Oryctolagus cuniculus: one gene and its partner. The protein of the gene in region 1 interacts with the protein of each later gene in a pairwise test. Links are inferred from orthologs where the notes say so. Each region holds a gene or a part of one and is shown on either strand. Other genes may lie near its edges.

Region 1 (5,730 bases):
AACGTACATGGCCACACATGCTTCTGCCTGTGAGACACTGGTGACGAGACGGTAAGATGCCAGAGCAAAGAAAAACCAAGACAGCAATGAACACGTAGTCTTAAGTACGATCACAGACTTAGTAAGGCAGCAGGAAGAAGACAGTGTTGCGCATTCCCAGAAGAGGACACATGAGGGGAACTCCTCAGTTTAACTGTGACAGAATTTCCATCCTTGGCAGAACTGAGATGTGGATGCTAATAATACTGAGGGGCCGGCGCTACGGCGTAGTGGGTTAAGCCTCCGTCTGTGATGCCAGCATCCCACATGGGTGCTGGTTCAAGTGTCGCTGCTCCTCTTCCGATCCAGCTCCCTGCTGATGGCCTAGGAAAGCAGCAGAAGATGGCCCAAGTGTGTTGGCCCCTGCAACTTCGTGGGAAACCTGGAAGAAGCTCCAGGCTCTTGGCTTCAGATCAGCCCAGTTCTGGCCGTTGCAGCCATTTAGGGAGTGAACCAAGATGGAAGACCTCTCTCTTTGTGTTTCCCTCTCTCTGTAACTCTGCTTCTCAAATAAATAAGTCTTTTAAAAAATAATAACACTGAGGATTATATAGCACTTGCAGACATGGCATTTCATTTACTTCTGTAGAATGCAGTAAGCGGGGTGGGTGAAACACCATGGCTCTTTCACAAGTGGAGAAGGGGAAGTGGGAAGAGGCCGGCTGGCCTGGGCGTCAGGCTGGCCCTAGCATTGCTCCACCTGACGGCAGGTGCTGGAGGAAGCCGGCTGCTTCGTGGGTGTGACCGGGCCCACCCCCTCAGCGGGCAGCCTCCACTTCCCCAGCGTGAAGTAAGGGGCGAGTCTGGATGCTCTCAAAAGCATCTCCCAGATGCTCCTTGGCAGTGGGGTTCAGTCGGTTTGGAGGGCCAGGGCGGAGACACTGAGTCAACAAGAGGTCTGTTTCAGATGTCACTCAGGGCTGATGGAATGAGAGAGTGGAGAGTGGGTGGATACTGGACTAGAGGGCAAAGGCCTAGACTCCATAGCTTTGCAAGCGTGGAGTTCAGCCACTGGGTAAGTTTCCGTGCGCAATTAAAAAATAAAAAGTGGCACTCAGGTTTGGTCTCCTTGGCGTAGCCTGGGGCTGAGCAACCCGGTCGGATGAGTGGGGGCTCTACCGAGCTGTGTCGCTCGGGAGGCTCCCGAAGGCGTGGGTCGCGGCGGAGGCTCAGCTGTGGCAGGCTTGTTGCTCGCGTCCACGTCTCCCCGGGTCCTACTAGATCCTCCGGCTGCCCTGGCCAGGGCTGAGCAGCCCCCTACCTACCTCCCTCGGGCCCGCTGGTCCAGAATATCTCTGGCGCAACTGATCCGCAGCCGGGGGCGCCAGTGTTGCGAATTCCTAGAAGCCTGCAGAGGCTGCCTAGGGTTGGAAGTTACGATACCCCTAGGTCGCAAGAGGTTCAGGCTCACACAGCCACCGATCGCCGAAGGGCCTGCCAGGAGGGCGCGGGACGAGAACGGCCCTGGTCCTGGTCCTGCAGCCAGCGCTGGCCGGTGGGTTCTCGGGGCGCGGTGCTGCCGACGGCGTGGGAGGTGCAGCCGTGAGGGTGGCAGGGCCGCAGGTAACTGCAGGCCCCAGAGGAGGCGGCTGGGCCAGGGCGGAGGCGCAAGGGGGCTGCTCGCTCCGTTGCCTCGGGGGACCCTTTCGACCTCCGCCGGCTCAGCCCGGAGTGGGGCCAGTGAGTCAGATCTCCGGCACCCGCTGACGGGCGCGGAGTTGGGGGTGGGGGGGCAGGTCAGGAAATGACATCAGAGGCCTGTGCTCAGGGAGGGGTGGTCTGCGACCGGCCAGGGCTGCGAGCACGGCTGGGAGTGCGGCGGGGGCGGGCGGACCTTAGCGGAGCCCTCGGCCCAGGGCAGGATCTGGGCCCCTTCCTGGGGGAGTTTCCTGCCGCGCCCGCCCTGTCTCTCCCCGCCCCCTCTCCGGGCCGCTCCTTGTATGGTCGCGGCGCCGCTCTCTCCCCGCCCCCTGCCGCCCTCCCTCCTCTTCCCTGCGTCCCTCCCCCGCCTGGCTGGAGGCTGCTCGGGACCGGGACGCACAGTCCGCAGACCCGGCGCCGAGGCGGCCACTGGAGACGCGGCGCGCACGCTCCGGTCCGCGGTGAGGCGCGGGGCGCGGGGCTCCGGGAGGCGGCGGGTGGGGGTCGTCGGGAGGCGCTCGGGCCTCCGGGGGAGTCTCCTGCCCAGCCCAGCGCAGTTCGGCGCCGCGTAACCTGGAGACCCACCCCCAGCAGCCCGGCCAGGCCATGGCGGCCCCCCGCCCGCCTCCCGCGATCTCCGTCTCGGTCTCGGCTCCGGCGTTTTACGCCCCGCAGAAGAAGTTCGGCCCGGTGGTGGCACCGAAGCCCAAAGTAAATCCTTTCCGGCCCGGGGACGGCGAGCCTCCAGCGGCAGCCGGGGCCCAGCGCGCACAGATGGGCCGGGTGGGCGAGATCCCCCCGCCGCCCCCGGAAGGTATGCGGCAGGGCTGAGGGGCTGGACCCCCGCGGGCGGCGGGGTGGGGGCAGTGGGATTGAGCAAGGGGCGGGGGGACGCCTGCAAAGGTAGCTGCGGAGGGGGCTGGGTGCAGCCACCCTGTCCCGAGCAGATGTTCTTACCTCATCGTGGAGCTCATGGCTGGGAGCCAGGGCTCCTGGGATCGTTCCAAGTCCCCGCCTGGGGGTGGGAGGCGGGAATGTGGGCCACGAATCTTCCCCTGTGGGTCCGTTTTCCCAAGTGTAACGGGAGCCGCACCACTCCTCGGCCGTGCCCCCCCACCTCCGGCCTTTCCTGACCTGTGCCCCCCTGGGCGCCCTGCACCCCTCCTTTCCCTTCCCGCACACTCCAGGACCCCCGAGGCAGTTCTTGGGTTAGGGTTAGAGTCAGAGCTGTGGACGGAGGGCAGCTTGGGGCAGCGGTGGCGGGGCCGCTGCCGATGGCCGCTTCTCTCCCCGCCCTAGACTTTCCCTTACCCCCGCCTCCCCCACCTGGGGATGGCGACGACGCGGAGGGTGCGCTGGGAGGTGCCTTCCCCCCGCCGCCTCCCCCGATCGAGGAACCGTTCCCCCCTGCACCTTCCGAGGAGGACATCTTTCCTTCTCCACCGCCCCCGCTGGAGGATGAGGGCACGCCCGAGGCCCCCATGCCGCCCCCGCCGCAGGTATGGAGGCCTGGGGAGGGGTCAGTGCACTGGGACGCCTCAAGGAAAGGAGAGAAGGGGGCCTGCTGTGACCTGCCCCTGTACCTCTGCCCTGTTGCGGGAGGGGTGGCGTGGGAATGGGAGACGGGGATGGATGCTCTGACCCCTGATCCTGTAGCCCAGGGAGAAGGTGAGCAGCATCGACCTGGAGATCGACTCTCTGTCCTCACTGCTGGATGACATGACCAAGAATGATCCCTTCAAAGCCCGGGTAAGGGCCTGGGGAGTAGGCACCCTGAGTGCCAGGGAGGAGAGACTGGAGAAGGAAGCGTGGAGGGCAGCCCCTGCCTCTAACTTGCTTCTCTCCCTCTGCCTCTCTTGCAGGTGTCATCTGGATATGTGCCCCCTCCAGTTGCCACTCCATTCATTCCCAAGTCCAGTACTAAGCCTGCGACCGGGGGCACAGCACCCTTGCCCCCCTGGAAGGCACCTCCCAGCTCCCAGCCCGTGTCCCAGCCTCAGAGCCAAGCGCTGTTCCATGTCCAGCCCCAGGCTCAGCCCCAGGCCCAGCCCCAGACCAAGCCTCAGGTCCAGCTGCATGTGCAGCCTCAGCCCCAGGCTCATTCCCAGCCTGTGTCTTCCGCTAACGCGCAGTCCCGAGGTCCTCCAGCTCCACCTCCAGCACCAGCCCCTAAGTTTTCTCCAGTGGCTCCCAAGTTTACTCCCGTGGCTTCCAAGTTCAGCCCTGGAGCCCCCGGTGGCCCTGGGTCACAGCCCAGTCAAAAGCTGGGACCTCCGGAAGCTGCTTCTTCCACTGGCACGGGTTCCCCTCAACCCCCCAGCTTCACCTATGCTCAGCAGAAAGAGAAGCCCCGCGTGCAGGAGAAGCAGCACCCAGTGCCCCCACCTGCTCAGAAGCAAAACCAGGTGAGGGGGCGAGATAGGTCAGGGCCGAGACCAGGGTGCTGGGGGAGGGAATCACAGTGGAGGTGGCTTGGGAGAGATGGGGTGGGCATCAGTGTGGTGGGTCCATCGGTCAGACAATGGGAAGGGAGAGAGTTTCTGCAGGGGCTGGCTGGGGCGTGGCTCCAGATTTGGAATTAGAGGATTTGGTGCACATTCTCTTGCGCTTCTGCCCTGGGAGGTTAAAGGGGAGGATGACATCACCGGTCCAATGTTGGTTTTTCCCCATTCCTGGGCCTTAAGTTAATCTCGCAGCTCCTCTGGTCCTTTCACTGCCCGAGGGCCCATCTGGAGATAAGAGCCACAGCCCCAGTAAACAAAGACTGAGCCAACATCAGCTGGATGCCAGGCACTGTGTTCTGTGCTCTGGAGTCTGGGACAAGGGAGCGAAGTGATCTCCCAGAGAGGTTTGGCCTCCGGGTGTCAGATGGGGCTGGGATAGAATCCCCAGCTCCACATCTCATCTGCTGTTTGGGCAAGTTAGGTGAACTCCAAGCCCCAGTTTCCCCTTTAAAAATTAACACTACCCCATATAGTGGTTGTGAAGAGTAATTGGATGAATGCTTGCGAAGTGCTGGGTTCGGTATTACATAAATGCCCTAAATGGAAAAGCACGAGGCAAAGCGTGCCCTGCAGTTCGGATGAGATCTTGTGAGTTAAAGCGACCCTGAGGGACCTCTAATCCAAGCATCCAGAGAGTCATCTGATAGCATCCATGTCTGAGGATACTCAGGTACTGTACAGGAAGAAATGCCAGGTGCCAGTGAGATTTGCGGAATTGCACAAGTTACAGGAACTCAGAACAGGGAGCCAGCCTGGGGCTGGCAAGTTAGGAAAGCCTTCCTGGGCTGGTGTGTCTTGAAGGGCCGGCAGGACTTAAGAATCCGAGAGGAAAGGGAATGGCATTTGATGGGAACGGCATGAGCAGAATGCAAGGCACAGCTACACAGGGGTGTTTGGAAAGCAGAAAGCAGTAGGTTCCTGTGGGAAAGTTCGTGAGCTATACTTAGAGACTAGGTGGGGGCTACGGGGAGTAGGCACACCCGGGGAGCTGGTGAGCACTGCGGGGTCAGTGCTTTGGGGTAGGTGTGTGGCTGGGTCTCCAGGGCTGGTGAGGCCAGTGCTGTTGGGAGCTTTCTGGAAAGTTCCTAGCAGAGACGTGTGGTAGAGGCAAGGAGGTAATGATGTGTGTGAGTTCACTCCCAGGCAGCAGTAACATTCATCTCAATGGAAAATAAGACCCATGTTTAGCACTGTTAAAAAGGAAGAGCCCATGGGATGCAGCAACTGATAAGCAGTTGGAGGGGGAAGGGGAAGAGAAAAAAATGCCAGAGTGGGGGTGTGTCAGGAATGATAGCACTGCTGACAAAATAGGTAAGTCCAGAAGCGGAAGTGGTTTGGACAGGAAGAAGAGGGGTCAGCTGTCAGCATGTTGAGCAATGGGTTCCAGAAAGCCTGCCTTCCAGCTGGTACTGTCATTCAGTTAGCCACGTAGACCCAGGGTTCGGGAGGAGGCCCACAACTGGAGATGAGGTGCACATGGCAATCATGTGCAGTCACACTGCAGTCGGGGTGGACCAGGGGAACTGGGGGCCTGGGATGGAACCCT
Region 2 (5,688 bases), on another chromosome or scaffold:
CGTGGTGCCCCCATGCCCCTCCAGTTCCTCTGTTTTTGTTTCCTCCAAGCCAGCAGGTCCAAGGGACCCTCTATCCCCTCTCCTCCCATCTCGGCCATTCCTATGCTGCTCCTTCCCTCTCAGTGCCTTAGCCAGGGTGAGGAGATAAGGATGCTCTTCTTGCCTTTTGTATCTGCACATTCATACCTCTGCCAAGACCAGCCTGTCGCCTGCTGGCACCCTCAGCTCTCCCCGCTGCCCCGGTGACGAATCGAGAGCCACCTGCTTCTCTGGCAGACGGACTTTGTGTAGGGCCGTGAGAAGGTGGTGGGGGCTGGGGTCTGCTCAGGGCTTCCGTCCTCCCTCCTCTGTGACTACCGAGGTGGTTTTGAAGGAGCTGCACCTGGGAGCCCTGACTGCGGTCTTTACCAGTTCCAAAGCAATGGTCCCACTCTCTGCAGTCTTCCTGTGGCTTCTCTACCCAGATGCCCCCAGTCTCAGTAGGGAACCAAGGGACCTTCATTTTCTCAGGAACTTGGCCCTGGTTCAGGGTTTTTTCCTGGGCCCAGAAGGTGACTCTTGACAGAACTGGAACGAGGCGATGGGAGACTTCCTCCTCCTTTGGGTTTTGGGGGGACTGAAGCCCTGGCAGGGAGGGGGTTAGAGGGATGATTCACCTCGCATTTCCTGAGCAGGTCCTGTGGGCAGCCTGAAGAAGGAGGCTGTTCTCACCAACGACTTGTAATTTCATGATTTTAAAAAACTCTTATTTTCTTCTGCAAATCAGACGTTCTCTTCCAATCCAATGCAACCTTGACTGTACTTTAAATTAAATATTAAAATTATATATCTGCGTTGAGATTCTTGGCTTCGTATTCTTTTTCCTGGGCTATTTGGAAGTCCATGTTTCAGGAAGAAGTAATTTTATTGAACAGCTCAGAGGCTGAAACTGGAGTTTTCTTGACAGTGCTTTTCAAAGGCCCTTTACAACAGATAGAATGGGACCTTGGAGCTTAGGAAGTGTTCATAGCATTCTCCATTCTCTCCTGAATAACCTTCTGGGAATAGCAAGGCCAGAAAATGCCTTCTTTGGGAGCCAGTGCTATGGTGTAGAAGGTTAAGCCTCTGCCTGTAGTGCCAGCATCCCATGAGAGTGCCAGTTCAAGTCCCAGCTGCTCCACTTCTGATCCAGCTCCCTGCTAATGGCCTGGGAAGGCAGTGGAAGATGGCCCAAGTTCTTGGGCCCCTGCACCCACGTTGGAGACCCGGAAGAAGCTCTTGGCTCCTGGCTTTGGATCTGCCTAGCTCCAGCCATTGCAGTCATTTGGGGAGTGAACCAGCAGATGAAGATCTCTGTCTCTTTCCTTCTCTCTATTTCTGCCTTTCAAATAAATAAATCTTTAAGAAAAAAAAGAAAAAGATGCCTTCTTTGAGAGTTAGAGGGAGAACACACCAGAATAAGGTTTTATTCCCTTGAGTCACAAAGATATCTCCAGCATTCACCTCTTGGGTAAAAAGATCACCAGCCATTCCCGATTGGCCTGGGACGTAGTCTTTACCTTGTGTGTTGGGGAATCCTGCCCTTGTGTTGCCTTGAAGAAGGGAGTGAACCCTTCACTTGAGCCTATTGCCAGATATTGGGACGCTGTCCACTCTGGGGGGTGGGGTGGGGGGTCAGACCTGCCTCTGACATATTTGGGGGCTGTTGGTGTGGGTCATAGGCCAGTGGAGCAGCCCCCTGCTGAGAGCAGCTGGGCTGGGAAGAGGCTCCAGGTTCTGCTTGGCTAACCTAGGCCTCAAGATCCCAGCCTAAGCTTGGGGAGCAAATGCCATTGGAAGGCTGAGGCTCAGCCTTCCTCAAAACCACAGATTCCTTTAAAGGCCATGTGTCCCGCCTCTCCCTACCATATAAGGGCAGCTTTGGTATAATAGCCTCTGCAAAACAAGCCCCACCCAGAGCCTAGCTGGCTTTGACTTGGCCTGGGCGGCTTGCCAGGGAAGGGCACCTGCCAGACTGGCTTAGGCCAGTCTGAATGAGCTGGCCTTTGGTGCCCGCCTTTCTGTGGCTGAGGGAAGGTTGTCTCAGCTCCGCAAAACCTACAGGCTGGCTTATATACAGGAATGGGAAGATGTAGGGAAGCTTCTACAGGTTCCAGCTCGCCAGGGGCAGACAAGAGTGATTTCCTCTGACCAGTTCTGATGTTGGAGTTGAAAGGAGACAAGATTAACGAAGCGTATTGGGGTACAAGCACACTTCCTAGACGAAACTGTTCAGTTAAGCTGCCCAGGACGCTCCAAGCCACACCTCTACGTAAATCCGAGCGAGAGTCCACGGGGCGTGAACGAGAGCCCCTTGGCTCCGCCCATCTCACCTTCTCGCTCGTTCTAATTGGCGAACAGCGCCCGGGGGCGTGGCCTATCTTCAGGCCGCCTCCCGACGCTTCTATACAAGGGGGCAACCCGTCGCGCGCCAGCCTAGGAGAAGCCGGAGAAGTGGGGTTGGGGGCTGAGGCTGTGTGCTGCGGGCCCCCGCAGGAAGAAGATGAACGGGACGCGGAACTGGTGTACACTGGTGGACGTGCAGCCGGAGGGCCAGCCCGCGGTAAGAAGGCGCTCGGCGCTGTCCTCGTGTGCTCTGCCCGGCGTCTGATTCCCCACTGGATGCCCCGCGCCGAGTTCGCTGACATCACCTGGTGGCCGTCTCCGTGCGCTCAGCCCTTCGCGGCGCTTCCCTTTCTGTGTCGCCTCGCGGCGGACAGCGGGAGCCCCTGGGGGTGGCGGGATGAAGACCTTTGAGGCCCAAGGCGTCCCTGCCCTTTTAGGAGGACACTGCGGCTGCCGCCTGGGACTCGGCGCCCGTAGCCTGGGCCGCGTTCTCGGGCGTCCTGTGAGTGTAGGCTCAGGGGGCGGGATCCTTGTACCCTTTCGGACATCGTGTCCCACCAGGCAGACCGCGCTTTTCCGTCGGTCCTGGGGACCGCAGAAACCCTTCAGAGAATCTCCTGGCGCTTTGGGCGGAGGGTGAATACCGAAAGCTTGGGAATGGAGGGCCCGGGACGAGGCGGATGGGAGCGGTAGCACTCCTGCTGCTCCGAGAGACTGGCCAGCTCTGCCTTTCGTTAACCGGGATGGAGCTTTCCACCCGGGGGTCACCTCTCGCGGATTTCTCCTTCTTCCCTGTTGCCGGTTTTCTGCCCCCCCCCCCCCCGCCCCCCCTTCGGCCAACCCAGAGCTTCTGGGACGGTTTGTCGGTTTTGCTTCCGTCTCCAGCCGCCCAACCCTGGGCAGGTAGATGAAGGGGATTAGAATCTGAACTGAGAAAGGAGGGAAGTGACCCGTGCGAGGGTTTCCGGTTGGCGTGAGGGTTGTGGAGAGGTGCGGCTAATGCCGATCAAGGCCATAGGCCCCCTCCCCGCATTGCCTGGCCTCCCTCCCAGTTTTCCTCCCCACCCCAACTTACCATATGTGGCTGAGCGTTTCCAGGCTGTGCTGGGGAACTTAGCATGGGTGTGTGCATTCCATCGATTTCCAAGCTTTTGCGGGTGCCAGGTGATTGGGGGTCTGTGCCACCTCCTCCATCTGATCTCCTGGCTCTCTGCCGGTCTCCGCCTGCCTCAAGGTCGAGTTTATCTAGCTGCTCTGACTTAGGGCTCTTCTTCAAAGAGCGTGTGTGGTATAGGTGGTCATTTCAAGTTTAAGGTCCAGAGGATCATTTAATGGTGTTCACAGTCCCCCCTTCGTTTCTGCCACATTGCAATACAGATCTTGCTACTGCCCAATCGCCCACTCCCTCAGCCGTGGGACCCTGGAGAGGTGGAAACCATCCTCCTTGCGGCTCACTGTTCTGGGATGGTTGAAGCAGGGAAGATGGTTATGAGATGGATCAAAGGAGAGTGTGCTTGGACTTCTTTTTGCTTGCTGTAGGTCCAGAGGCCGTCTTGCGATCCAGGCATTGGCAGTGTTGGAATGAATTGTCACCTTTTGCTATCCTGTCATGTTTTCGCAGCTTGTCTGTTGGGGCAGGCAGACAAGGTAGGAACATAGTAAGCAAGGAATTCAGTCTCCAGCCACAGATCAGTGTACAGCTAGGGACCTCTAGAGCAAGGGGTAGGCAGAAATTCCACTCATTCTCTTCGGAGCCTGGACTTGGGACTTACTTCACTCTCAGGCTGGTCATGAAATAACCATCGCCGGGATCGGGGAGACATTCCTGGGCCCTTAAGGAAGGGGAGGAGATGGTAAACAATCAATCAGTCAGGAAGCAGGCTGTGTCCTGGATTCCTCTCTTCTGAGCCAGCCTACAGATAGAATTTATGACCCTGCACAGTCCCCAGGAAGTTCTTGTATATTCAGACCATTGAACCAGTGCTCAGTGCATGTACAAAGTGAGTGGACAGAAATATGCGCAGATGTCTCTTCTGCAGTTGAACTGATGAGGTATCCTAGTGGGAGCTGGCATGCTGGGACCCTGTTGGTGTCTCCCCAGCAGCCAGGCCTTACTTAACATGCCACATGTAGACATGGAAATGTGGCCGATACACTCTCCAGGTTACTTCTACTGTTGGAGACAAATGCAGTAGGTACAAGGAGCTGGTGTTTTTCAGTTGCAGATCATATAAGCATGGTGGGCTGGAACTCAACTTAGTGGGTCAGAACCAGCAAACAAAAAGAAATTGAATTAGTACTCTTGGAGTGTTAGCAAGGGTAGGACTTTTTGGCAAAACCTTTGTTTCAATCATAAGCATATTACACACATACATATCATGTATGTATATTATATACATACATGTTACCTATGTGTGTTTGCTTACTGGATCCTGATGTAAACTGTGTTTTTAAGTCAAAGTTTGCAAGCCACTATAGTATCTTTATACTGAAGGAAATGAATAAACCTTAAGCTTGTTTTCATTAGATATTTCCATTAAATTTCTTTGGTTACAGTAGACAACAGAGAGTGGGCCCAGCTAGCTTCAACAGAAGAGGAATCTATGAGAAAGAAATGGGTCAGCTCACAGAATTTAAGGGAAAGCTTAATAAAAAGTTCTAACCAGTGATTCCTGGGGCCTGGGAGGCAGTGATGGAGGCTTTCTGCTTCTAGGTGAATGGATTCCAGCTGTGTTAGGACTTTTTGCTCTGGGCTCCAGGGAGAGGGGGCTGCTGGCCTCTGCCTCCCCCACACGTGTTGGTAGCCGTGGAGGGGAACAGAAGCTGTATGGCGAAAGAGCAGATGTCTATGACCTTGGGCTTCGTCATGGATGATGTTTCACCCTCTTCCCCCTCCCTTGTTCTTTACTTCCATCATTTTTCATCAAAGGAATATGTGTGTATGATTTTTAAAAGATCTAATCGGGGCCAGCATTGTGGCACAGCAGGTTAAGCCGCTGCCTGTAACACCAGCACCCCTTCTGAGCACCGCTTTGAGTCCCAGCTGCTCCACTTCCATTCCAGCTCTCTGCTATGGCCTGGGAGGGCAGTGGAAGATGGCCCAAATGCTTGGGGCCCTGCACTGGGTGGAAGACCCAGATAAAGCTCCTGGCTCCTTGTTCCAGTCTGTCCAGCTGTGGCCATTGTGGCCATTTGGGGAGAGAACCAGTGAATGGAAAATCTTTTTCTCTCTCCTTCCCTTCCTCTCTCTGTAACACTTTCAAATAAATAAAATCTTAAAAAATAAAAAGATCTAATAATATCCAAAATACTTTTAAAAGAGAC

Evidence for each region. The genes of interacting proteins can lie anywhere in the genome.
Region 2: the proteins of ZYX (region 1) and TUFT1 interact in binary tests that used the Homo sapiens proteins (3 or more experiments, as listed by UniProt). The link is inferred for Oryctolagus cuniculus from reciprocal best matches to the Homo sapiens genes ZYX and TUFT1.

What each region holds. Positions count from the first base shown.
Region 1 is NC_091434.1:180,377,214-180,382,943, reverse strand, and holds the start of ZYX (zyxin), read left to right. Parts: upstream 1-1,949; 5' UTR 1,950-1,979; coding exon 1,980-2,141; intron 2,142-2,271; coding exon 2,272-2,494; intron 2,495-2,979; coding exon 2,980-3,179; intron 3,180-3,336; coding exon 3,337-3,429; intron 3,430-3,542; coding exon 3,543-4,085; intron 4,086-5,730. UniProt on the Homo sapiens protein: Adhesion plaque protein. Binds alpha-actinin and the CRP protein. Important for targeting TES and ENA/VASP family members to focal adhesions and for the formation of actin-rich structures.
Region 2 is NC_091438.1:46,547,232-46,552,919, reverse strand, and holds the start of TUFT1 (tuftelin), read left to right. Parts: upstream 1-2,375; 5' UTR 2,376-2,521; coding exon 2,522-2,581; intron 2,582-5,688. UniProt on the Homo sapiens protein: Involved in the structural organization of the epidermis. Involved in the mineralization and structural organization of enamel.